6 linked regions of the Sus scrofa genome follow. The protein of the gene in region 1 purifies or fractionates together with the protein of each later gene. This does not show direct contact. Links are inferred from orthologs where the notes say so. Each region holds a gene or a part of one and is shown in the gene's direction. Other genes may lie near its edges. The genes, in order: LATS2, AJUBA, ANAPC1, SAV1, MOB1A and LIMD1.

What was found.
Region 2: the proteins of LATS2 (region 1) and AJUBA purify together in Homo sapiens (affinity purification with western blotting; 3 studies listed by BioGRID and IntAct, with this or other methods). This does not show direct contact. The link is inferred for Sus scrofa from reciprocal best matches to the Homo sapiens genes LATS2 and AJUBA.
Region 3: the proteins of LATS2 (region 1) and ANAPC1 purify together in Homo sapiens (affinity purification with mass spectrometry; 3 studies listed by BioGRID and IntAct, with this or other methods). This does not show direct contact. The link is inferred for Sus scrofa from reciprocal best matches to the Homo sapiens genes LATS2 and ANAPC1.
Region 4: the proteins of LATS2 (region 1) and SAV1 purify together in Homo sapiens (affinity purification with western blotting; 4 studies listed by BioGRID, with this or other methods). This does not show direct contact. The link is inferred for Sus scrofa from reciprocal best matches to the Homo sapiens genes LATS2 and SAV1.
Region 5: the proteins of LATS2 (region 1) and MOB1A purify together in Homo sapiens (affinity purification with western blotting; 9 studies listed by BioGRID and IntAct, with this or other methods). This does not show direct contact. The link is inferred for Sus scrofa from reciprocal best matches to the Homo sapiens genes LATS2 and MOB1A.
Region 6: the proteins of LATS2 (region 1) and LIMD1 purify together in Homo sapiens (affinity purification with mass spectrometry; 3 studies listed by BioGRID and IntAct, with this or other methods). This does not show direct contact. The link is inferred for Sus scrofa from reciprocal best matches to the Homo sapiens genes LATS2 and LIMD1.

What each region holds. Positions count from the first base shown.
Region 1 is NC_010453.5:1,231,471-1,234,970, reverse strand, and holds part of LATS2 (serine/threonine-protein kinase LATS2), read left to right. Parts: intron 1-398; coding exon 399-981; intron 982-2,340; coding exon 2,341-2,523; intron 2,524-3,500. UniProt on the Homo sapiens protein: Negative regulator of YAP1 in the Hippo signaling pathway that plays a pivotal role in organ size control and tumor suppression by restricting proliferation and promoting apoptosis.
Region 2 is NC_010449.5:76,069,509-76,073,008, forward strand, and holds the end of AJUBA (LIM domain-containing protein ajuba), read left to right. Parts: intron 1-64; coding exon 65-132; intron 133-250; coding exon 251-313; intron 314-1,033; coding exon 1,034-1,164; intron 1,165-1,248; coding exon 1,249-1,300; intron 1,301-2,295; coding exon 2,296-2,364; intron 2,365-2,810; coding exon 2,811-2,936; 3' UTR 2,937-3,376; downstream 3,377-3,500.
Region 3 is NC_010445.4:44,482,590-44,486,760, forward strand, and holds the start of ANAPC1 (anaphase-promoting complex subunit 1), read left to right. Parts: upstream 1-1,371; 5' UTR 1,372-1,394; intron 1,395-4,171. Other genes in the region: MERTK (tyrosine-protein kinase Mer), read right to left, coding at 621-681. UniProt on the Homo sapiens protein: Component of the anaphase promoting complex/cyclosome (APC/C), a cell cycle-regulated E3 ubiquitin ligase that controls progression through mitosis and the G1 phase of the cell cycle.
Region 4 is NC_010443.5:180,427,959-180,431,458, reverse strand, and holds part of SAV1 (protein salvador homolog 1), read left to right. Parts: coding exon 1-309; intron 310-3,500. UniProt on the Homo sapiens protein: Regulator of STK3/MST2 and STK4/MST1 in the Hippo signaling pathway which plays a pivotal role in organ size control and tumor suppression by restricting proliferation and promoting apoptosis.
Region 5 is NC_010445.4:68,851,101-68,855,268, forward strand, and holds the start of MOB1A (MOB kinase activator 1A), read left to right. Parts: upstream 1-1,368; 5' UTR 1,369-1,638; coding exon 1,639-1,652; intron 1,653-4,168. UniProt on the Homo sapiens protein: Activator of LATS1/2 in the Hippo signaling pathway which plays a pivotal role in organ size control and tumor suppression by restricting proliferation and promoting apoptosis.
Region 6 is NC_010455.5:28,728,847-28,732,991, forward strand, and holds the start of LIMD1 (LIM domain-containing protein 1), read left to right. Parts: upstream 1-1,345; 5' UTR 1,346-2,162; coding exon 2,163-3,555; intron 3,556-4,145. UniProt on the Homo sapiens protein: Adapter or scaffold protein which participates in the assembly of numerous protein complexes and is involved in several cellular processes such as cell fate determination, cytoskeletal organization, repression of gene transcription, cell-cell adhesion, cell differentiation, proliferation and migration.

The sequences.
Region 1 (3,500 bases):
ACACAGGTGAGAACTTAAAATTGGGGAAGTAAAATGTATGCTCTTCCTGCTGTCCTATTTTCACTGGCTTTTTTCTTGTTGTTTTACCATCTTTCCCTGAGCCGTTCAGTTATCCGTTGCTCTTAGAGTTCCAGGAACGTCATTAACAGAAGTTACATTTAGCTGTGCACCCAGTGACCTTTACCTAAAGTCACCAGAACAAGCGCTCCCTAGGGTGTCTCCCTCCGCCTCCACGCTGTGGCTCTGCGTGGCCGGCAGGAGCGAGACGTGGTTGGTTGGCTCTGGTGCTCGGCCCTTCCGTCGCTTCCCTCCTTCCACGGGCTGGAGGGGGGTCCTGCCCCTTCCGGGGCCCCGTCCCCGCCGTGTCCTCCGGGGTGACCCTGTCTCCTTCTGCACAGGCCGGCCTCTGCGAGGCCGAGCAGGAGCAGATGCGGAAGATCCTCTACCAGAAGGAGTCCAACTACAACCGGCTCAAGAGGGCCAGGATGGACAAGTCCATGTTCGTGAAAATCAAGACGCTGGGCGTGGGCGCCTTCGGGGAGGTGTGCCTGGCCTGCAAGGTGGACACGCACGCCCTGTACGCCATGAAGACCCTCAGGAAGAAGGACGTGCTCAGCCGCAACCAGGTGGCCCACGTCAAGGCCGAGAGGGACATCCTGGCGGAGGCGGACAACGAGTGGGTGGTGAAGCTCTACTACTCCTTCCAGGACAAGGACAGCCTGTACTTCGTCATGGACTACATCCCGGGCGGGGACATGATGAGCCTGCTGATCCGCATGGAGGTCTTCCCGGAGCCCCTGGCCCGCTTCTACATCGCCGAGCTGACGCTGGCCATCGAGAGTGTCCACAGGATGGGCTTCATCCACCGCGACATCAAGCCGGACAACATCCTGATCGACCTGGACGGGCACATCAAGCTGACCGACTTCGGCCTCTGCACGGGCTTCAGGTGGACTCACAATTCCAAATACTACCAGAAAGGTACAGCCCGGGCCAGCGCCACCCCCCCCCGCCCCCCGCCCGTGCTTTTCCGCTGCTGCGACACCCTCTTCTCCCTGGAAAGGCAGCCCGACTGGAGGTTGCCGTGTTACGTTAGTGGCCTCAAGTCTTACGGGGATGTTGTTAGGACGGCAGGCCATGGGGTGTCTTTGGGCTTTGCGCAGGAAGCGTCTCTCTGCCTGTTAAAACAAGCCTTCAAAAATAAGCCTCATGGCCTCCCAAGGAGCTCTCGCTCTCGGCCAGCCTTGGCCTGCTGCAGGTGTAGACCGCGCTGTGCACCCAGTGACCTTTACCTCTGGCAGCTCTGCTGTTTGGAAACGTCAGAAACAGCTGGTTGTTGTCTTAGTTATGGTATGAGTTGTTGTTGTTTTTGTTTTTTGTCTTTTTAGGGCCACACCTGTGGCACATGGAGGGTCCCAGGCCAGGGGTCGAATCAGAGCTGTAGCCACTGGCCTACACCACAGCTCATGGCAACGCCAGATCCTTAACCCACAGAGCGAGGCCAGGGATTGAACCAATATCCTCATGGATACTAGTAAGATTCATATCCACTGAGCCATGATGGCAACTCTTATTTATGGTATGAATTTTTGAAATAGTTATTTTAATGCTATAGCTCAGGCTTCCATTTTTTAACTCAAAATTAATCCTAAATCATTTAATTCATGCTTGTCTTTTGGCACTGGACTCATTTATGTTCATGTTTCCCTTTTTTTAGTTTTTTTTTTTTTTTTTTTTTTTTTTCTTTGCTTTTTAGGGCTGCACTTGCTGCGTATGGAGGTAGGTTCCCAGGCTAGGGGTTCAATCGGAGCTACAGCCACAGCAACGCCAGATCTGAGCTGCATCTGCGACCTACACCCCAGCTCACGGCAACGCCAGATCCCCAACCCACTGAGCGAGGCCAGCGATCGAACCCACAACCCTATGGTTCCCAGTCAGATTCTTTTCTGCTGCACCACAATGGGAGCTCCAATGTTCGTATTTTCTTAATCTTTTCCTGGTTTTCCGTGCCTGTCGTAAAACGTAGCCTCAGAGGTGGGCCTGAGCATGCTGGGAACGCCATCCCCCAGTCACAGCACCTTTGTCGCCAGCCTCGAACAGCGCCCCATGCAGGCCGCCCGGCGCCGGGCGCAGCCCCTGCCGCCACCGCCCACGGCTTGGATCTGAGGCCCGGAACCACAGCCGCCCCGCGGAGCTGGCGGGAGGACTCCTTCTCTCGCTGTGTCGGGCGCTGCCTTGGAAAACTTTGACCTTTGAAACTGGGGGTCTCTTGCGTGTTGAAGAGCGAAGGTTCACCTTGCTTTTCCTCCTCTTTCCCCCGCCCTGCGCCCCGGGTCACAGGGAGCCACACCCGGCAGGACAGCATGGAGCCCAGCGACCTCTGGGACGACGTGTCCAACTGTCGGTGTGGGGACCGGCTCAAGACCCTGGAGCAGAGGGCCCGGAGGCAGCACCAGCGGTGTCTGGCGCACTCCCTGGTGGGGACCCCGAATTACATCGCCCCGGAAGTGCTCCTCCGGAAAGGTGCGTGTGTGCCCCCGGCTCCAGTGCTCAGCCTGAGTCGCCCTCCGGGTTCCTGCGGGGCTGAGAGTGTGTTCTCAGCATGTGGCCCTGGTGTGTGGCCCTGAGGGTGGGGCTGCCCTTTGCCCCCAAGCCCAGAGGAGCCGCCCCAGAGCTGGTGTGGACAGAGTGCGTGCCAGGGGCACCAGGGTCCCAGGCTCCGGCTGGGAGGCACTGCCTTCCCTGGTCAGCGTGGGCGAGGGTCACTTCCTCCGATGCCTCCCCAAGCGCCTGGAAGGTGGCAGGATGTGGGGACCCTGTGCCCCGCCTGGCCGGGCGCAGGAGGAAGCTGATCGTTGGTCATGTGCTATCAGCGGCTGCATTTGTGGGTTTGATTCCGGGGGATGCACTCAGGGAGCTGTGACCCAGGTCACTGGAGCCAGCCGACAGGGCCCCCACCTGTGTCCCCTGGTAGCTGCCCGCCTGCCAGCCTCACTGTAACTGCGGCTGCCTTGAGAGGCTGTGGGGAGTGTTCACCTCGCTGCCCAGGAAAGGTGGGAGGCGGGAGGTGCTGGCCCTCAGGCGGCCACCCTGTCCCCCCAGCCCTCGGCGCAGCCCAGAGGAGTCCCCTGGGCAGGGACTGCAGTGCACCTTTGGCAAGAATTTGGGCACGGCAAGGTTGGAGCGGGGCTTGTGTTGGGACATGGGACAAAATCAGAGGAAGACCAGCCTGCCCCAAGGCCTTCCAGAGGCTGCCCTGGCTGAGTCCCGGGCGTGGGAGCTCCGCGGGGTCCCCTCCTTGCTCCCACCCCACCTGCCGGGGGCGCCGCCGAGGTCCCGAGACCTCCCCGGGAAGCGCTCGGCACCGCCCCGACCGGGTCACAGAATTGCCGCTTCGTTCCTCGTGTGTACTTCGTGTTTGGTTCTTCAAGAACTTGGACTTCTGGTCGGTATTGTTACCAACAGTAACAGTAGTCTTTTTAAATTAGTCTGTCGCCATG
Region 2 (3,500 bases), on another chromosome or scaffold:
TTGTGCGGGACACCCCGTGCCTGGACCCTGGGAGAGGCTCCAGCCCCTTCTCTACTGCTTCTAGGGCGAACTTTGCGATGCAAGGCTTTCTACAGTGTCAACGGCTCGGTGTACTGTGAGGAAGATTATCTGGTGAGTGAGTGGTCCCTGGTCCTGGAATTGGCTTCCGCCCCCTTCTTGGTGGTCCTCTGGGGTTCTACCCATCAGGTCATTCTCAGCCTGTTAACATCCTCTCTTGATCTCCTCCTAGTTTTCAGGGTTTCAGGAGGCAGCTGAGAAATGCTGTGTCTGTGGTCACTTGATTTTGGAGAAGGTAAGAAAAGCATCTTCAGCTGAGACTGCGAGGCTCAGGGGCCAAGGGGAGAATCAGGAGCTAAATGGATACTGAGAAAAGGCTGGGGGAGGAAACCTCCCAGCAATCACTTGCATCCATTCCTCTCAGAACAGCTGTTCATGGTGGCTTCTTTCTGCCTGTGGGATCAGGTCTGGACTCCTCAGCCTGCCGCCCCCAGGCTTCTATGATCCGGCTCCTCCCTAACTCTGCAGCCATAGCCAGGTCGAGTGCCTAAGCTAGGAGTATGGGGTCCTGGGTCTTAATCCCCTTCCTGTTACTGACTGGGATCAGCTGGAACTCAGTTATCTGTTCTCTAAGGAGGGACTGGGTTGGCGTGGTGCTTCACAGCTCTGGCAGCCTAGCAGATCACCTGGGAAGAAGTAAAGAAAAATACCAACACTGGGCATTACCAGAGACTGTGCTGAATACTTCTGGGTGGGACCCAAGCATTGATGGGCTTAAAACCTCCCTGGGTGACCCTGATATGCTGCCAGGGCTGAGAAACACTGGCCTGGATGCTCTCCAAGACCTTTTTCAGGGCTTCTGCCTCCATTTGAAGACCCTTGGTCCTCCCAGATTACATAGCAGTGTTCTGGGAGGAGAGCAGCGGCTCTGATGGGGTTGGCAAGAACAGCAGGGAACGTCATTGGTAGCCGGTAGCCAGAGAGTGGAGACTGATTCTGCTTCCCCCTGGGCCAGATCCTCCAGGCAATGGGAAAGTCCTACCACCCAGGCTGCTTCCGATGCGTTGTTTGCAACAAGTGCCTGGACGGCATCCCCTTCACCGTGGACTTCTCCAACCAGGTGTACTGTGTCACCGACTACCACAAGTGAGTCCACCCCTTGGGGTGTGGTGTGGAACTGGGCTCAGGGATTTCCCCCTCCTCAGCTCATCTCCATCCTCTCTCTTTCAGAAATTATGCTCCTAAGTGTGCAGCCTGTGGCCAACCCATCCTCCCCTCAGAGGTCAGTATGTCTGGGTCCTCCCGCAGGGCAGCCAGTGCTGCGGCCGCTGGGGAGGGGCTGGGGACATGCTGCCTGGCCTCCCATGGGAGGCAGTGGTGCTGAGGAATGTATTCTGAGAAGATTCCCGTGTGACTCTGCTCTAGGGGTCACCACCCTGACCCCAACATCCGGGCCTGGACTTGTCTGACAGCCTCACTGGGCCCAGCCTCCATCTTTTTGCTCCCAGGCCAGAGAAATAGACTTTCTTTGAGGTCAAGGTCACCAGCTCCCAGATTAGGGGCTAGAAAAAGGTGGAGAAAATCCTCAGGGCCGGTAGGAGGGGGTCAGAAGTGATTTCTGCCGTGTGTGCCAAAAGTGAGCCTAGGGAGCCAAGCCAAAAGCCCATGAGGAACCAGACCCTGTTGAGCTTCCCCGCCCCCGTCTTAGCCTGCTTATGCGGCCTGCCCCTTCCTTCCGCTTTACTTCCCCCACAAATGGGAGAGGTAGGTAAGGCCCGAGCCCCTGGACAGAGGGAAGGCTCTGTGAGGGGACAGGCCCTCTTGGAGGCAGCACCAAGGAAGGAGAGGTGGAACGTTCGGTAGGGTTTGCAAAGGTCGTCAAAGCTACAGATGATGGAATTCCTGTTGTGGCACAGCTGAAATGAATTGGACTAAGAACCATGAGGTTGTGGGCTTGATCCCTGGCCTTGCTCAGTGGATTAAGGATCCAGCTTTGCCGTGAGCTGTGGTGTAGGTTGCAGACGTGGCTTGGATCCCATGTTGCTGCGGCGGTGGTGTAGGCCAGCAGCTATAGCTCCGATTAGACCCCTAGCCTGGGAACCTCCATATGCTTTGGGTGTGGCCCTAAAAAAAAAAAAAAAAAGAAAAAAAAGCTACAGACGATGGCAGAGAGGTTCCGGAGGCCTCTGTGTGATCTCCCCATTTGGGTGGGGGCGGTGGTGGTGGGGAGTTCTGGTCATGCTGCTCCTGTGCCCATGGGCGTGTGCGTTATTTCAGGGCTGTGAGGACATTGTGAGGGTGATATCCATGGACCGAGATTACCACTTTGAGTGCTACCACTGTGAGGTGAGTGTTGGGGGCCCCAGGCTCCCAGAGGAGAGTTGGAATGGGGTTAGGGGAGTGGAGTCTGTAGGAGAGACACAGGGCCCAGGAAACCAGGAAGGTGCTCTGACCCATCGCCAGCCTCTTCCTCATCTGTCCTTCAGCCACTGTCTCTGGGCCTGGTTGTTTAGTCCTTTCTAAATCTGGCTTCTCCAGAGTCAAGACTTCTAAAACTAGGGACTTTCCTGGTAGCAGCTGGAAGTGGGAGCCCATCTCATTATTTCTGCTGTAGCAGCGACACCTGGTGTCCAGCTGAGGTATTTTCTCGGGTTTCTCTTCTGGGAGTCCATCCCCTCCCACACCCTCACCCCCCTTCTTCTAGTCGTTAGGAGTCTGGTGTTAAGCAGGGCAGACTCCCAAGATGTCCCCGGTGCCTGGGCTGAGGTGAACCAGGCGTCCTTCTTCCCTAGGACTGCCGGATGCAGCTGAGTGATGAGGAAGGCTGCTGCTGCTTCCCTCTGGATGGGCACTTGCTCTGCCACGGCTGTCACATGCAGCGGCTCAATGCCAGACAGCCCTCTGCCAACTACATCTGAGATGCAGTCACCGCTGCCGCCACCACCACCACCGCTGACAAATTCCTCTGGCCAGTGGGCCCCTCTGAGGCCAGGTGGGGCAAGCAGTGCACTCTGCAGGCCTGGCAGAAGAGTCCTCCAGGGAGGGCCCCAAGGGCCAGCGACCCAAAGATCAAGACATTCCAAATGGATTGTGGAGGAGGAGCCCTCCAGTTGCTAGAGTGACTGGCCTTTTTTCCACGTGTGCAGCCTGTGCCGTAACATATAATTCAGGCACACACACAGCCGGGTTCCAGTACCTTCTAAAGGAGTTCTCTTGTGGCACAGTGGAGTAAGGATCCGGCATCATCGCGGCAGCAGCTTAGGTTGCTGCTGTGGCACGGGTACGATCCCTGGCCCAGAAACTTCCATATGCTGCGGGTGCGGCCAAAAAAAATAAATAAAAATTTTTTTAAAAAGGGCCTGATGCTAGTCTGTATCTCCAGTATACATTTGTGTATGAGTCAGTGTTTGGATTCTGGTTTATAGGAAGAGAGGACAGCATGGGAGCTCCTTTTTGTATTTTTAGGGTCACAACTGCAGGAT
Region 3 (4,171 bases), on another chromosome or scaffold:
GGTGAAAAGAATGTTTCCCCCCTTTCCGGGGCCGCCACGCTCACAGGGTGTCCTTGCTAATGTTGTCCATAAGGGCTCAAGCGGAGCAGCCGGGTCCGCAGTCCCTTTCGGTCGCACCCCAGCCTGGGTGGATCAGCACCGGGACTGCGACCCCAACTCCCACAGTCTGCTGGTCTCCGGGCGCGGGTCCCCCTGGAGATGGGGTCTGCCGCTCCCAGAACTCCCGCCACAGCCAGGGTCCAACCGCGCAACCAAGTCCAGGGCAAAGTTTCTGGCGCATTCCGCGCCAGACCTGCGACCAGCGTTCCTCTCCGCGCAAAACTTTTGGGCTTGCAGCGCTTCCAGTCAAGCTCGATTTCCCCCTGGGCGGTTAAGGGGAGCCCTCGGTACCCACCCCTTCCCGACTCCACCGGGACGCGCGCCCACGACCCAGCCTGGGTGCGGGGACAGTGGGTTGCTAGAAACTCCTGCGCGCCAGCGCCTGGCACCGCTGGGGCGCGGGGAGATGTTTGCAAACTTTCTTGCAGCCGGGTGCGCCCAGGTCGGTGCGCTCCCACCTCCCAGCTCCCGGCCGCGAGCCCCCAGCCCCCAGCGCCGGGCCCCTGGCCCCGGGCACTCACCTCCCCTCCAGAGCGCGGGGAGGAGGAGCCACCGCAAGAGCAGCAGCAGAGCCCGTCCCATCCTGGGGCGCGGATCTGGAAATTCTCTCTGGACCGACGGAGAGACAGACGTCTGGAACACGCCGCGTCGTCCGCCAAGCGCGCCAGAGAAGCGGCCCAGTACCGGCGGCCCGGGCAGCTCCAACCCCGAAGTGGCGAAGCCGAGCAGCGGCGGGAGGCGCTGAGGGCTGGAGGGGGCGGGCCGGGGGCCGAGTCCGAGCGGACCCTAGCCAGTTGGGTTGGGAAGCGGGCGGGAAGGCGGGGGGGAGAGGAGGGCCGAGGAGGAGGAGTAAGGGGACAAGGCTGGACTAGAGGGGCGGGGAGGGGCTGGTCTGGGCGGACCTGGATGTGGGGTGGGGGCGAGGGGACAGGAGAGAGGGGAGGAGGTGGGGGCCGTAAAGGGGAGGGGCGACCGGAGGTGGAGAGGAGAACCCGGCCCAGGCCTCTGGGCGGTCCCGGCGTCCAACACGTGCAGGTGGGAGGGACAGAGGGAGGAGATAAAGTTCCAGAGGAGTAGAAGACGCCCGAGGCAGCCACCAGACCTAAGAGGAGGGGCCAGCGGCTCCCGGGCAGCGGCGACCCCGCAATCCAGGCTTAGTGGACCCAGAAAACTCAGGCAGCAGCAGCTCTCCCAGAGGACAAGGCCACAGTGGTAGGCGATCTTTCTGAGCGCCGCATCCACCGGCTCCCGGCCGAGCGCTCCCCGCCTACACCGCCTCGGGTATCGGGCCAAAGGTGAGAGACCAGCCCTGGCCTTTAGGAACTCTCCTCCCCCCGGGGGAAGAACCACTGTGTCCCCTTGTCAAAGACGTGATGGTCATGGAAGATCGTCAAGGAAAAAGTGCAGAACACTAGCGGAAAGAGATAGCCCCGCAGTGATAAAGTGTGTAGGGGCCAAGGGGGCAGCCGCTAGAGTTAATGTATTTTAATGTGATCCTTTGACAACGTGAGCTAAATCTTGGCATTCCTCTAATCACAACTCCACTGGTGGTTCCTGCTTTCTCCCTGCAAAAGAGTCAAAGTCCTGCCTGTGGCTGACAAGGTCTTAGAAGACGTGGTCCTCTTTCCTCTCTGACATCATCTCCTTACTCCATTTCCATTTACGCTGCTTTCTGATCCAGCAGTCCCTGACTCCTAGGCTGGTGGTCACTTGGGGTATATTTGGCTGTAAGGAGACAACAAGCCCAAATGGATTTAGATTGGTTATTACACTGACAGCAAAAGTAACATCAGCATGGTGACATCACCTGGCATCCCTAGTCTCTCAGGGTGACACGGATCTCAAGGGGCCAGATGAACAGATGTGAACAGTGAGGGGATCTGCTGCTAAGAAGCTAATTCTAAAGTACAGCAGAGCAGTTTCACATACGTACCCAGGAGCCTGCTGCTGTGCTTGGGGGCAGGAGGAAACCTGGAGGGAAGGCAGCAGAAAGTCCTATGCTCAACTGAAAATATGGAGAGGGAAGAAAACAGCCTTGTAGCAGTTTTCCTCAAGTCGGGGATGTGACAGATGACAGACAGTCAGGATATGAAAAGATGCCCAACATCACTAATTATGAGAGAAATGCAAATCAAAACTACAATGAGGTATCGCCTCACACCAGTCAGAACGGCCATTATCAAAAAGTCTAAGATACTAAATGCTAGAGAGGGTGTGGAAAAAAGGAAACTGTCCTCAACTGTTAGTGGGGATGTAATTGGTGCAGCCACTATGGAGAATAGTATAGGGGTTCCCTAAAAAACTAAAAACAGAATTAGTATATGGTCCAGCAATCCCTATCATGGGCATATATCTGGAGAAAACTCTAATTGAGAAGATACATGCACCCCAAAGTTCAGAGCAACACTATTCACAATAGCCAAGACATGGTAGCAATCTAAGTGTCCATCAAGAGATGAACAGATAAAGAAGATATAGTATGTATACACAATGGTATATTACCAGCCATAAAAAGATTGAAATATTGCCATTTGCAAGCAAGATGGATAGACCTAGAGATGATCATACTAAGTGAAACTGTCAGAGACAAATATCATATTCCACTTATATGTGGAATCTTAAAAAATGATACAACTGATGAAAAGAGCATGTTTTAAAGAAGGCCTTAGGGAAAAAAAAGAAAGCATTAGGGAAGAAAAAATACATTTATAGTACTGTACTGTATTTACCAATACCATAAGTTTATATCACGTGTTTAAAAGATGTAAAACATGTCAATACCTATATTGATATTAAATAGTCTTATATGATACAAAACACTGTAGATAGTACACGTATGACTAACATTAGACATCAAAAGTGAAAACATAACTTGAAAAATAGGGAGTTCCCTGGTGGCTCAGCATGTTAAGGATCTAGTGTTATCACTGTTGTAGCTTGGGTCACTGCTGTGGCTCAGGTTCAATCCCTGACCCAGGAACTTCTACATGACACAAGCATGGCCAAAAAAAAAAAAATGCATATTTATATAAGGTACCATATTTACTTATTTACTTATTTATGGCCATGCCTATGGCATGTGGAATTTCCCAGGCCAGGGATCAAACCCAGGCCACAGTAGAACCCAAGCTGCTGCAGTGACAACACCAGATCCTTAACCTGCTGCACCACAAAAGAACTCTGGTGTCATATTTATCGAAAAAAATCTAGAGTTCCCATTGTGGCTCAATGGTAATTATCCCGACTAGTATCCACGAGTATGGGGGTTCAATCCCTGGCCCCGCTCAGTGGGTTAAGGATCCGGCATTCCCATGAGCCGCAGTATAAATTGCAGACACAGCTCAGATCTGGCATTGCTGTGGCTGTGGTGTAGGCCAGTGGCTACAGCTCCAATTCAACCCCTAGCTTGGTAACTTCTATATCTGCAGGTGCAGCCCTAAAAAGACAAAAAGAAAAAAGAAAGAAAGAAATCTGAGTGTAAATGGACCCTCAAAGTTCAAATCTGTGTTGTTTAAGAGTCAACAGGACTGGTATTAGACAGTGTAAGAGACTACATTTGGAGAGGTGAATGACAAACTGGAAGAACCAGTGTCTAGCCCTTGCAACTTCTGGATTCCTTTTGCCATGCTGAACATCTGGGATGTGCAAATATCTAGACATCAGCATTCACTGAAGCACTGAGATGCTGCTTAGCAGAGTCTTGAATCAGCATAAAAGTACAAGTGTCCAGCAGTTGAAGATTGGAGGAGATTGGGATGGTGGATATAGGAATCTCTACTCAGCCACTACTAAAGAACATACCAGAAGCACAGGGATCTAGAATTTGTAATCTGATGGGGAACTGAAGTGATGCTTTCAAGCAACTCCATTTAGCTTCTGGAACAAAATCCTAGTAGTCTAAATCCTTTGTAGTTCTAGAGGAATTTAGATGGGACATGTAGAAGACTCCATTTTTCTTCCCCAAACCATTCCAGAAAGAAGATGTTTGTAGTTGTTATAGTTTATTGGGAGAATGGAGGTGGTAGATATAAAAGATTCCGTTTGCTGAACAACATACTGAAATTGCAGAGGT
Region 4 (3,500 bases), on another chromosome or scaffold:
CTCCAATTCAAAGAACACCTCATGAAATAATGAGAAGAGAAAGCAACAGATTATCTGCACCTTCTTATCTTGCCAGGAGTCTAGCAGATGTCCCTAGGGAATATGGCTCTTCTCAGTCATTTTTAACAGAAGTTAATTTTGCTGTTGAAAATGGAGACTCTGGTTCCCGATATTATTATTCCGATAATTATTTTGATGGTCAGAGGAGGCGCCAGCTTGGAGATCGCACACATGAAGACTATAGATATTATGACTACAACCACGATCTCTTCCAAAGAGTGCCACAAAATCAGGGGAGGCATGCTTCAGGTAACTTAAAATTATAAATACTACGTGAGTTTGATTTATTAACACCTCATTAAAAAAATGTTCTTTTCTGGATTTTCTTGGGAAGGCAACAGATACTCCTAAAGAACTACTTCTACATTTTGCCAATTTGCTAAGTCAGTTTGCAAATAATTATTAATCTGAACTGAGGGAAGGAATTTCATGTCTATTAAGCCATTTAATTACCTTATTTTATAAAAGCTTGGTACGTAGCTAAAGGCTATGTAGACTGTTAACATTTCGAAGCTGGAAAACCTAGAGATTTTAATGTCTATAGTTGGACTGCGTCTAGGTTTAGATTTGGTAAAATGGGAAGGTTAGGATTTCAGAGAAACTGGACCTCAACCTGGGAAAAGAAAGGCAAATAGGAAGAATTGGGCATGATGGGTGACACCATGGGCAACTACATCATTACTTAGCTAGAACTGGCACTGTTTCTTTTAACAGAACTGTTTTCGTAGTAGTCATTTATGTGTCTAGCATTTTCCCCGACCCTCTTGGTAGTATCTGCCTTCTGGGACCTATTTGGGAGGATGAAACTAATATATTCAAGATGATCAAAAAACAGGTAGTCATTAAACTTTGTGGTATTGACTGTTAAGTGCAGTAAAGAGTCAGAAGAGAAAGAGATCGGGGTAGGCTAGAATACTTGGAGAATGGTTTGTGGAAGAGGTTGGTCCTGAACTTTGCTTTTGCTTTTAGCTTAGACTTTAGAATGACAGGGGACATGGGAAGAACATTTTAGTTAGAAAATTAGGATTAGGCCAGTGAAAAGAGCAGAGATGATATAAATCCAAGGAGTTGTGCACTTCTGCATAGTTTGGAGAAATAAGTTGTAAGGTGAAATGGAGATTAGTGGTGCAGCAAGAGCTTGCAGGATTTAAATTTGAGTCAAGCAGAGGCCATTGAAGATTTCAAAAGGACAAGATGTTCATTTTATGAAAGGACTATTTCAAGATTAGCTTACCAGTTAAGATAGATTGCTAGAGAAAAGAGGACTGCAGTGGAGAGGAAAGTGCAAATCTATGATACTTTTGAAGGAAAAATGAGACCTAATTATGGGTTTGGGAGAAAGTAAATCACTGAAGTTTTGAAAATTAAAAGTATGGAGTAGTTGGCAAGAGTAGCTTATTTTGTGAAAGCTGACATTCAAGTCTCATTGGGACATTGAAGAGAAGAGATTCATCTAGAAGTCTATGAATACATAACATAAAATGTCTAGAGGCATATAGAAGTACTGTCATGAGAATAGGTGCGTGTCTTTTTTGTTTTTAAAGAACTTCTAGGTTAAAGGATTAGATAGTTGGATACTTTATTGTGTATTTTGGCTGTTTCTAGTAATCATGTATTTTTAAACTGAAATAATTTGTTTTCTAATCAGAATAGTAAGTTTTAAAAATAAAGTTCATTTTGGGGGTTCCCCTTGTGGCTCAGTGGTTAATGAATCCGACTAGGAACCATGAGGTTGCCGGTTTGATCCCTGGCCTTGCTCAGTGGGTTGAGGATCCGGTGTTGCTGTGAGCTGTGGTGTAGGTTGCAGACACGGCTCAGATCCTGCAATGCTGTGGCGTAGGCTGGCAGCTACAGCTCCGATTCAACCCCTAGCCTGGGAACCGCCATATGCCTCGAGAGCAGCCCTAGAAAAGGCAAAAAGACACACACACACACACACACACACAAGTTCATTTTTATATATTTTAACAAGATGTATTTAGTTATTTCTTTCATCTTTTTCCATGGCATTCTTTTTAAAACTGTGATTATAGTTTGTCCATTTTCATATCCCTGCCTTTTTATATGAATGAGTTTCTTACTGTTATACACTATTTATAAGTACTTTCAGTGATCTTCCATTCAGTACACATTTGATGGGTAATATTTTAAATGACCTATCAGGCTGGGGATGTTTGGAAAGGGGGGAAGTGAGACACATCTGCATTAATGGGCCTTGACCACTAATGGGGATTGAGGGATGAGAGAAAGAGAAGAGTCAGATAGGATTACCAAAGCACCTGGCTATATAGGAGGTACTCTAAAAACAAATGGTTGAGTAAGTGAATGGATCCACAGATTTCAAGTTTGGAGTCTTAAGACAATTTTGGTAGCTGAAGAGTATCGGGAATAATAGCTTATAACAGTGTTTGCCATTAATACCGATTGTTTATATTCCAAACATCACTGATAGCTTATGACACTTTTATACCTGAAGTATGCAGATTTAATGACACCAAGATAAAATCTTGTGTTAAAATCCTGATTCGTTGTAGTTCCCGTTGTGGCTCAGCAGTTAATGAATCCGACTAGCATTCATGAAGACAACTATTCGATCCCTGGCCTCTCTCAGTGGGTTAAGGATCCGGCGTTGCCATGAGCTGTGGTGTAGCTTGAAGACATGCCTCGGATCCTGCGTGGCTGTGGCTGTGGTGTAGGCCGGCAGCTACGGCTCCAATTGGACCCCTAGCCTGGAAACCTCCATATACCACGGGTACGGCCATAAGAAAAAGGCAAAAAAAAAAAAAAAATCCTGATTCACAAAATATCATTGAGGAAATATTGTAAAAACTAAATTTCTACTGATCCTCTCTTAGAACCCTGCTTATGCAGTTTGACGTAGTTTTTGTGTTTTTGTCTTTTTAGGGCCATATCCATAGCATATAGAAGTTCCCAGGCTACAGGTCTACACCACAACCACAGCTGAGGCTTGATCCTTAACCTACTGATCAAGGCCAGGGACGGAACCTGCATCCTCATGGATACTAGTTGGGTTCGTTATTGCTGAGCCACAACGGAAATTCCTGACATAGCTTTTATAATTTAAATAACATACTTTATTTTATTTTATTTTATTTTTGCCATACCTGTGCCATATGGAATCCACCGGGCCAAGGATTTAATCTGAGCCACAGCTGTGACTTATTTCTTCTCAGCTCTGGCAACACTGGATTCTTAACCCGCTGCACCAGGCCAAGGATCAAACTTGAGCTTCCATGGCATCCCAAGCCATTGCAGTCAGATCCTTAACCCAGCAAGAACTCCTAATGACAGACTTTAAAAAAATAACTTTCTCCAATCATGTTTTATTTTTTGTCTTTTTGCCTTTTCTAGGGCTGAACCGGGGGCATATGGAAGTTCCCAGGCTAGGGGTCCAATCGAAGCTGTAGTCGCTGGCCTAC
Region 5 (4,168 bases), on another chromosome or scaffold:
GAAGACTGATACTGGACCAGGACCCCTTTTTGGATGATCCTTTGGGGGCCTGAGGCAACTTAAAGGAAGAGAGAGATAAATTTGTTTCAAATAGCCAATAAGCACTTGAAAAGATTCTTAACATCAGCCAACAGGGAAATGCAAATCAAAATCTGGAGCTACCACTTCGCACCCACGAGAACGGCTATAATAAAAAAGATACACAGTAACAAATGTTATCAAGGATGTGGAAATAGCAAAACCCTCAGTTATTCGCCAGTGGAAGGTAAAATAGTGCATCCAATTTAGAAAACAATCTGGCAGTTCCCCCCAAAGATAAATACATAGTTAGTATATGACCCAGTCATTCCCAGGCACATACCCAAGAGAAAAGAACACATTCATCCACACAAAATCCCACAGAGGAATGTTCCTAATGGCCTTATTCCTAATAGCCCCAAGCTGGAAACAACCACAAAGTCCATCAACAGATGAATGGATAAACAAAATGTGGTATATTTATACAATGGAATAGTGCTCATAATAAAAAATGAATGAAGAACAGATACCTGCTACAACAAGGATGAATCTTTCTATTTTTTCTTTTTAGGGCCATACCTGCGACACATGGAAGTTCCCAGGCTAGGGTTGAATCAGAGCTGCAGCTGCCCACCGGACTAGGCCACAGCCACAGCAATGCAGGATCCAACCGGTATCTGCAACCTACACCGCAGCTTGTGGCAACCCCACATCTTTAACCCACCAAGCGAGTCCAGGGATGGAACTCTCATCCTCATGCACACCATGCTGGGTTCTGACCTGCGGAGCTAACACAGGATCTCCAACATGGATGAATCTTGATAACATGATCAGGTAAAAGAAACTAATCACGAAGATTGTGCACATATTGTACAATTCCACTTATTTGAAATATCCAGATTAGGCAAACTCATATAAAAAGGTAGACTAGATGTCGCCAAGGGATGGGAGTAGGGAGGAATGGTGAGCGACTGCTAATGGGTACCCGTTTCCTTTGGAAGTGATGGGAAAATGTTCTAGAAATAGGTAATTGTTACCGCTCTACAAGTCCGAATATGTGGGAAAACCACTGAAGCATATTTTTAAAAACGGCGAATTTTATGCTGTGTAAATTACATCTCAACTTAAAAAATCAAATTAACGTTAAGTAAAAAATTTCGCACACATAGCCATCTGACATCTAGATAACTGGGACAAAATAGAGCTGCTTCAACCTGGACCACGCACATCAGCATCGCAGGCAGAGGATTCCAAGTCCAGGGCAACTTGTTCAGCGGAAGTCCCGGCGTAAAGGTCCCTGATTGGCTCAGGTGGAGGAGCCGGCCCAAGGAAAAGGGGCGTGCCGAGTCCCTCTCGGTGGGGCGGGGCTGAACGAAGCTTTCGCTCGCGAGATTTTGCTGGTTCCGCATTTCGGGTCCGTAAAGTCGGGGAGGAAGGCGAGGCGGGTGCAGTAGTTCGCACCTGCTTGCAGCGGCTTGACCCCGGCTGCGAGCTGCAGCGTCGCGGGCATCCGCTGTCCGCCGGCTGAGGACCTTCGGATCCCCCTCAGTCCCGCGCGGACTCCGAATCCTGACCTCGGCGGGGGCGAGCGGCCCCTCCCCTCCGCTCTGAGGATAGAAGATGAGCTTCCTCTTGTGAGTGTGGCCCGGCCCAGGGCTTCAGGGTTGAGGGGGCTGAGGGCCGAGGTCGTGGAGGGGGCCAGTGGGAGCCTGAGGAGAGGGCGGGTCCCGGGGTCGGGGCTGGCGTACCCGGCTCTTGCTTTGCCACCGCTCGGGGTCGCAGGGAAGCCTGGTTGTGGTCAGAGGCAGACGGAGGTGAAGGTCGAGGCAGAGGAAGCGGAGCGAGAAAGTTGGGGAGTAGGAAGGCCCCGAGGCCGGCGGCGCCGCCGAAACTTTTCCGCCCGAGTGCGCCTGAGGGCAGAGGGATGATCTAGGGGCGGAGCCATGGGCCCCGCTTGGGGCTTCCAATTTTTCTCCGGTCTCCAGCCTTTTGGTAACGATCCATACAGATTTGGCTTTTTACTCTACTATACGTCCCCCTTTATTGTCATCAGTATTCGGTTACCCCCGCGGAAAATGTGGAGTGCCGCAGTTTGAGAAGCTGAAAGTTAAGCTGGCGGCCTTGTGTCCAAATTCTGATCCAGCCCACTTTGTGAATTTGTATAATTAGCTAACTGCGTTTTAACTCGGTAGACTCTTATTTTAGAGATAACGTCTGGGCGCAAGTGCGGCTTAAATGGGAAAGTGTAACTCTGATGATTCTTAAGCACATTTAGCTTTGAGAAGCATTGCTCTAGCACCTTACGTGTTATTCTCAGGGGGCTCTTATTATTTTGCTTTAACATGTCTTGTATGAGCAAATACATATCCATTTTTAGTTATGGGCATTACCCACGTACTTGGCATTTTTTCCAAGTTTTATTAAATTACATAGTGTTTCATAACTACAGTTTACCCCATTTATTGTGAGAAATTTGGATTCTTTCTAATACTTTGCAGTTATAAAATAGCACTACTAAGAGTATCTTTGTCTAAATCGCTTTTTCCCTCTTTGGATTTTTTTTAAAGTATGATCACCATATCAAAAAATCCGATTTATATTTTAAAGTTTCCTTATTACTAGACCGTTATCTACCCCCTCCTTCCGGTCTTTTTCTTCTTTTAATGTTTAGTTAATTGTTTGTGGATGCACAATTCTTATTTGCTTTTTGGACCTAAATGTGAGGCTGTTTATTTCTTTTAAACTTTGTTTTGTTGATGGACATTTGAATTTCCACTTTTTGGATATTCTGTACGCTGCTGTGAACTGCGTACAGATTTTTGTACTGGATGTATGTGCTTCTTTCTCTCAGATATATACCTAGGAATGGAATTGCCTGGTTGTATAGTTAACTATTTTTAACCCTTTGAGGAAGGGTGACACTTTTTCCAAGCACTGCACCATTTTGCTTTCCCATTAGCACTGTATGAGTTTCAATTTTCCCACACCTTCCCTAGCACTTGTTAATTACACTTTTGGTTATAGCCTTCCTAAGTGGATGTAAAGTGACATCTCATTGTGATTCATAATAACTAATGATGTTGAGCATCTTTTCATGTGCTTATTGGCCATTTGTGTATCTCCTTTGGAGGAATGTCTATTCAAATCCTTTGACGATTTTTTTAATCAGGTTGTCTTTTTAGGTTTTGAATTGTAAAAATTCTTTATCCTGAATATACAGGTCCCTTAGCACATCTATAATTTGCAGCATTCTTTCCTGTTTTGTGGATTCTTATCACTGTCTTGGTGGTGCCATTTGAAGCACGGAAGTCATCATTTCATACTAGTTTCCATATTTAGCTTCTGGTCATTCACAACTTCTCTTTCTATATGTAAAGCGCCATTCCATCTCCCTGTTAAATTTCACTCATTATCATGTTAAATACAAACTTTCCATATTTGATTTTTATTGTTTTCATAACTCCTTTTTACTCCATAATCAGTCTTATTTAAAATTCACATTACTCTAGTAAAGGGAAAGTCCTCAGTTCTATTCCTTTCCCTTTTCTAGAAGTACCAGTATCAGTTTGGTGGATGATATTTTCTCCACGTTTACAAAATGGGCTTCTGCTGTACATTTCTTTTTTTTTTTTAATTAATGAATTTTTTTCTGTGCTGTGTATTTCATTCTATAATATGTTTAACCATATTAAACATAATACTGTATGGTTTTCCAGGATGTAAATATGTCATAATTATTTATTCCTTTACTAGTAAACTTTAGTTTTTCATAATTAAAAACAATTTTGGAAAATATATCCTTACCCATATTAAGGAGAGATACCTAGAAGTGGAAGGGATGGAGTGAAGTGCACTTCCGTGTTAATATGCCATATTGGTCTCCTAAAGTATTACACACTTTGACGAATAGTGTATTAAAGTACTAATTTCTCTATACACTAGCCCACACTTAATGTAATTGTTATGACTTCTGACACTCAAGCTAAGGAAAAAATAAATTTTATTTTGATTGAACAGCTTTTCAGAAAAGCTGGTCCTTATGTTTTTCTTTGAATTGCGTATTCATTGCCTTAGCCCATTTTTCTAAAGAATTCCTTGCCTTTTTCTTAACAGATTATAAAAGCCCTTTATTGTTAATACTTTGTAATAT
Region 6 (4,145 bases), on another chromosome or scaffold:
GATCCTTAACCCCGTGAGCAAGGCCAGGGATCAAACCTGAGTCCTCATGGGAACTAGTTGGGTTGGTTAACCACTGAACCCCGACAGGAACTCCCAGATTCTGCATTTTTAACAAGCTCCCTGGTGATTCCAGTCTACTGGCCCCTGAACCAAGCTTTAGGTTTACAGAGTACAAAGCACTGTCAAGTGCATTCTGTTATTTGTTCCTTGTCACAACCCTGGCAGACAAATTCACTCATTCACTCATTCAACCATCAGATACTGGGTATACAGATATGGTCTAATGGAGGTGGAAAACCACCCAACCACCAAAAAACCCACATGTAAACAGCTAAACAAATAATTATGAATAGTCATCAGAAGTGATCAGGAAATAAAGAAGGTGGCGAAAAAGAAGGGCTCTAGGAGCAGGTGATTTTAGCAGAGATAGAAAGGATGAGCCAGTGGAAAAAATTCAAGGCAGGAAACTCCTGCAGTAGCACTCAGATGGGTAAGAGCCCCAAATCAGTCAGGAGGCAGGGGCCACTAGGGCCAGGAAGGCCTAGTACAGGTAGATTTCAACCCTAGTCCCGGGTAAGCACTGAGGGTGGGTAGGAGGGAAGTGACTGGTCTGATATTTGCCTTAGGATCACGCTGGCGGCTATTTGGGAAATAAAAACTTTCGGATCCTCTCTCAGGATCCCCTTGGAGGTGGTGCAGGGAGCGCTGGGCCAAGTGAGGGCACCCAGGATTCAGGCCCGACGCCCCCCAGAGCTGCGTGGGAGTCTACTGGGGAGGCGAGCGGGGGTCAGGAATCCCCTCGTGAATAACGAGCCACCACATCATGTGTTTTCACTGCCTCACTGAGGACCTCAGCTAGGCGCGCTCCGGGCCACGTCATGATTTATAACCCCCTTTCAGAGGACTTGGGCTCCCACTCAGGCTTTGCTAGTCACAGTGGCATCTTGGACACTTCCCCCTCTGTGCCTTAGTCTCACTACCTGTCGAAGGGCACCTTGGGCCAGCCCATGGCTGGCACTCCCGGGCGGAGGCGGCTCAAGGGGTTAGCTTCCCACCCGGGAAACTGAGGCACAGCTGGGCAAGAAGCGCGCGCCCACCAGACTTCCGCAGACCTTTTAACAAGCGGTGCGTCTCGGGGCCCCGCGAGCCTTCCAGGCCTCCCACCAGCGGTTTCCGCAAAGTGGTGCCAGATGATGGGACCCCGGCCTCGCAGAGGGGCGGCAGTGGCAGCTGGAAACCCCGCCATCCCCTTGACCGAGAGCGGGAAGGAGGGCTGCGGGACACACCTCCCGGCTCCCCAGCCTGGCAGGCGCGGGCCTGCCCCCCGGCGCCCGGAGCAACCAGCGCTGACCCCGCCCCTCGCCGGCGCCCCCGCCCCTCGGCCTCCTCCTCCGCCTCCGCCTCCTCGCAGGCCCGCGACGTGCCCGGCCGGCGACCGAGCGGCGGGGACGGCGTCCGGCGTACTCACTTCCGCGTCCCGCCGCCCTCCGGCCCGCGCGCGCCTAGCCACCGTCACCATCGGACAATAGGCCGCCAGCCCCGCTGCCGAGAACTTCCTGACGGGGCCCGGCCGGCCCGTGTGCCCCGGACCTCGATCCCTCTCCGCGTGGGCCAGGATTTCAGCCCCGCGCCACCTGGGGAAGCAGCGGAGGACCGAGCGCCCGGGACGTGCCCGCGCCTCCCGCCCGCCGCGTCTTTGCTCCTGCCTGGCTGGTTGGTGGCTTCTGCACTCTCCGCCTGAGCGGCTTTAGCCCGGCTCCGTCCAGCGGTTGCTGCCGTGTTGTGGGTTTCTGAGTTTGATTGCTTAAGGAGGATGTGATTTTTTTTTTTCCCCTCCCTATTTCTTTCTCCTTTTCTGATTTGAAACAGAGAAGAGAATCACAGCCAGCTTGGACAGGGAAGCGCCGCCAGCTGCCCCCACGTGGACACCAACGAGGGGAAAAGGAATTGGAAGCAAACTTGGTCCAAGTGGCTTTGAGGCCTCGGCATCGGCTGTACTCACAGGCCTGGGGTCATGACTCTCCTGCTGGGCAGGTGGAAGGCTTTACCTGTCTTGGGCTGGACTTGAGCCTCTTTTCTTTGCCAGCACCCCACCCCACCCCACCCTCCTCCACACTCTCCATACCCAGCACCTGGGCTAGGCCCAGACACTGGTCTGCAACATGGATAAGTACGACGACCTGGGCCTGGAGGCCAGTAAGTTCATTGAGGACCTGAACATGTATGAGGCCTCCAAGGATGGACTCTTCCGAGTGGACAAGGGTGCAGGCAACAACCCGGAGTTTGAGGAAACACGCAGGGTGTTTGCCACCAAGATGGCCAAAATCCACCTCCAGCAGCAGCAACAGCTCCTGCAGGAGGAGACCCTGCCCAGGGGGAGCCGAGGTCCTGTTAATGGCGGGGGCCGCCTGGGCGCACAGGCCTACCGGGAAGCTGGTGTGGGCAGCAAGCTGACTGCGGATGGTGCTGCCAAGCCCCCTCTCGCTGTCTCAACAGTGACTCCTGGGACAGCCGCCACCATCACGGCTGGGCAGCCCTTGTACCCACCCCAGGAGCAGAAGGCCAGGCCGCCTGTCCGTGGCGTGAGGCAAGGTAGCCAGGACTGTGGATCCAAGGAGAGCATGGCGAGTTCCGAGATGTCTGCTTTCCATCGGCAGGGCCCCTGTGAGGATCCTTCCTGCCTCACCCACGGAGACTATTATGACAACCTCTCCTTGGCAAGCCCCAAGTGGGGTGACGAACCAGGAGTGTCCCCCAGCATCAGGCTGAGTGTAGGAAGTGGGTGGTCTGGCACCCCAGGGAGCGAGCCAGCCCTGTCCAAACCCTCCAGGGATCATCTGTACCAGCAGCAGCTTTCCCCGAGCTCCAGCAGGTCATTGCAGAGCGGCCCTGATGGTGGTGTTGGTGGCCGCAGCAGTGAGAAGCCAGCAGGTCTTTGGACCACCGCCTCTTCCCAGCGAGTGAGCCCTGGCCTCCCTTCCCCAGGCCCAGAGAACGGAGCCCTACTGAGGGCTGCTCAGCCCAGGACCCCTTCTTTCTCTGCGTCCCTGGCCCCCAGCCGCCCCAGTCAAGGAGCTCTTCCAAGAACAAACTCGGGAGTGGCAAGTGACCTTTCAGGCATGATGCCCAAACCCACCGTGGACCCTCAACCCTGGTTCCAGGATGGGCCCAAATCTTACCTTTCTAGTTCTGCTCCATCATCCTCGACAGCCAGCATGGACAATATGCAGCTGGGTGCCGTCCCTGGGCTGGGTCCCAAGCCTGCCTGCACAGACCCTGGCGTGGGTCCTAAGCTCAGCCCCACCAGCCTTGTCCACCCAGTGATGTCCACCCTGCCTGAGTTATCTTGTAAAGAAGGTCCCCCTGGCTGGTCTCCTGATGGCAGCCTGGGGTCTGTGCTCCCAGAGAGCCCCAGTTCCCCCAGGGTGAGGCTGCCCTGCCAGACCCTCGTGCCGGGCCCTGAGCTTGGGCCCACGGCTGCCGAATTGAAATTAGAAGCCCTCACCCAACGTCTGGAACGTGAGATGGATGCTCATCCGAAGGCCGATTACTTTGGTGAGTGAGCGGCTGGTGAGGTTGCTCGTGGTGGGTGACAGGGACCCTGCGTTTGGGAGGAGGTGCTCCCCACCAGGGATTCTGTAGGTCTCCTTGGGTGGCCTGCCATTTTTCTTGTGGTGGGGGTGGAGGAGGCTTCCTCTTTCAGCTGTTTCTTGTGAAACTTGAAAAGAAACTTGAAAGCATCCCTAGGCAGAAAGCAGATCGTGCAGCTGCGGGTTACCCATGTGTGAAGGGCAGGATTGCTCATGACTGATCTCGAAGAGGGGGAAATGTGGTGACTTTGGATTTCACGGGTTTTGGGGGTGACTTCGAGCCTCTCATGGTGACTAGCTCAGGCAGGACTTGAATGGGCCTCTTAGGTCCAGGTACCCCTGCATTCCATCCTTTGTTGGCTAGGCCAGGCAGGGCTGGCTATTTGAGGAGCAGGGGTCGGGCAGGGGCCTCCGCAGCTGTGTGTGTGCGCGTGTGCACGCACCATGTGTCTGTCTACAGGTGCTGTGTGCAGCTGAGGGAGATGAAACACTGATGTGGAAGATTTTGTTCAAGAGTAGTAGTTCTTGAAAGTGTAGTCCAGACCAAAAGCATCC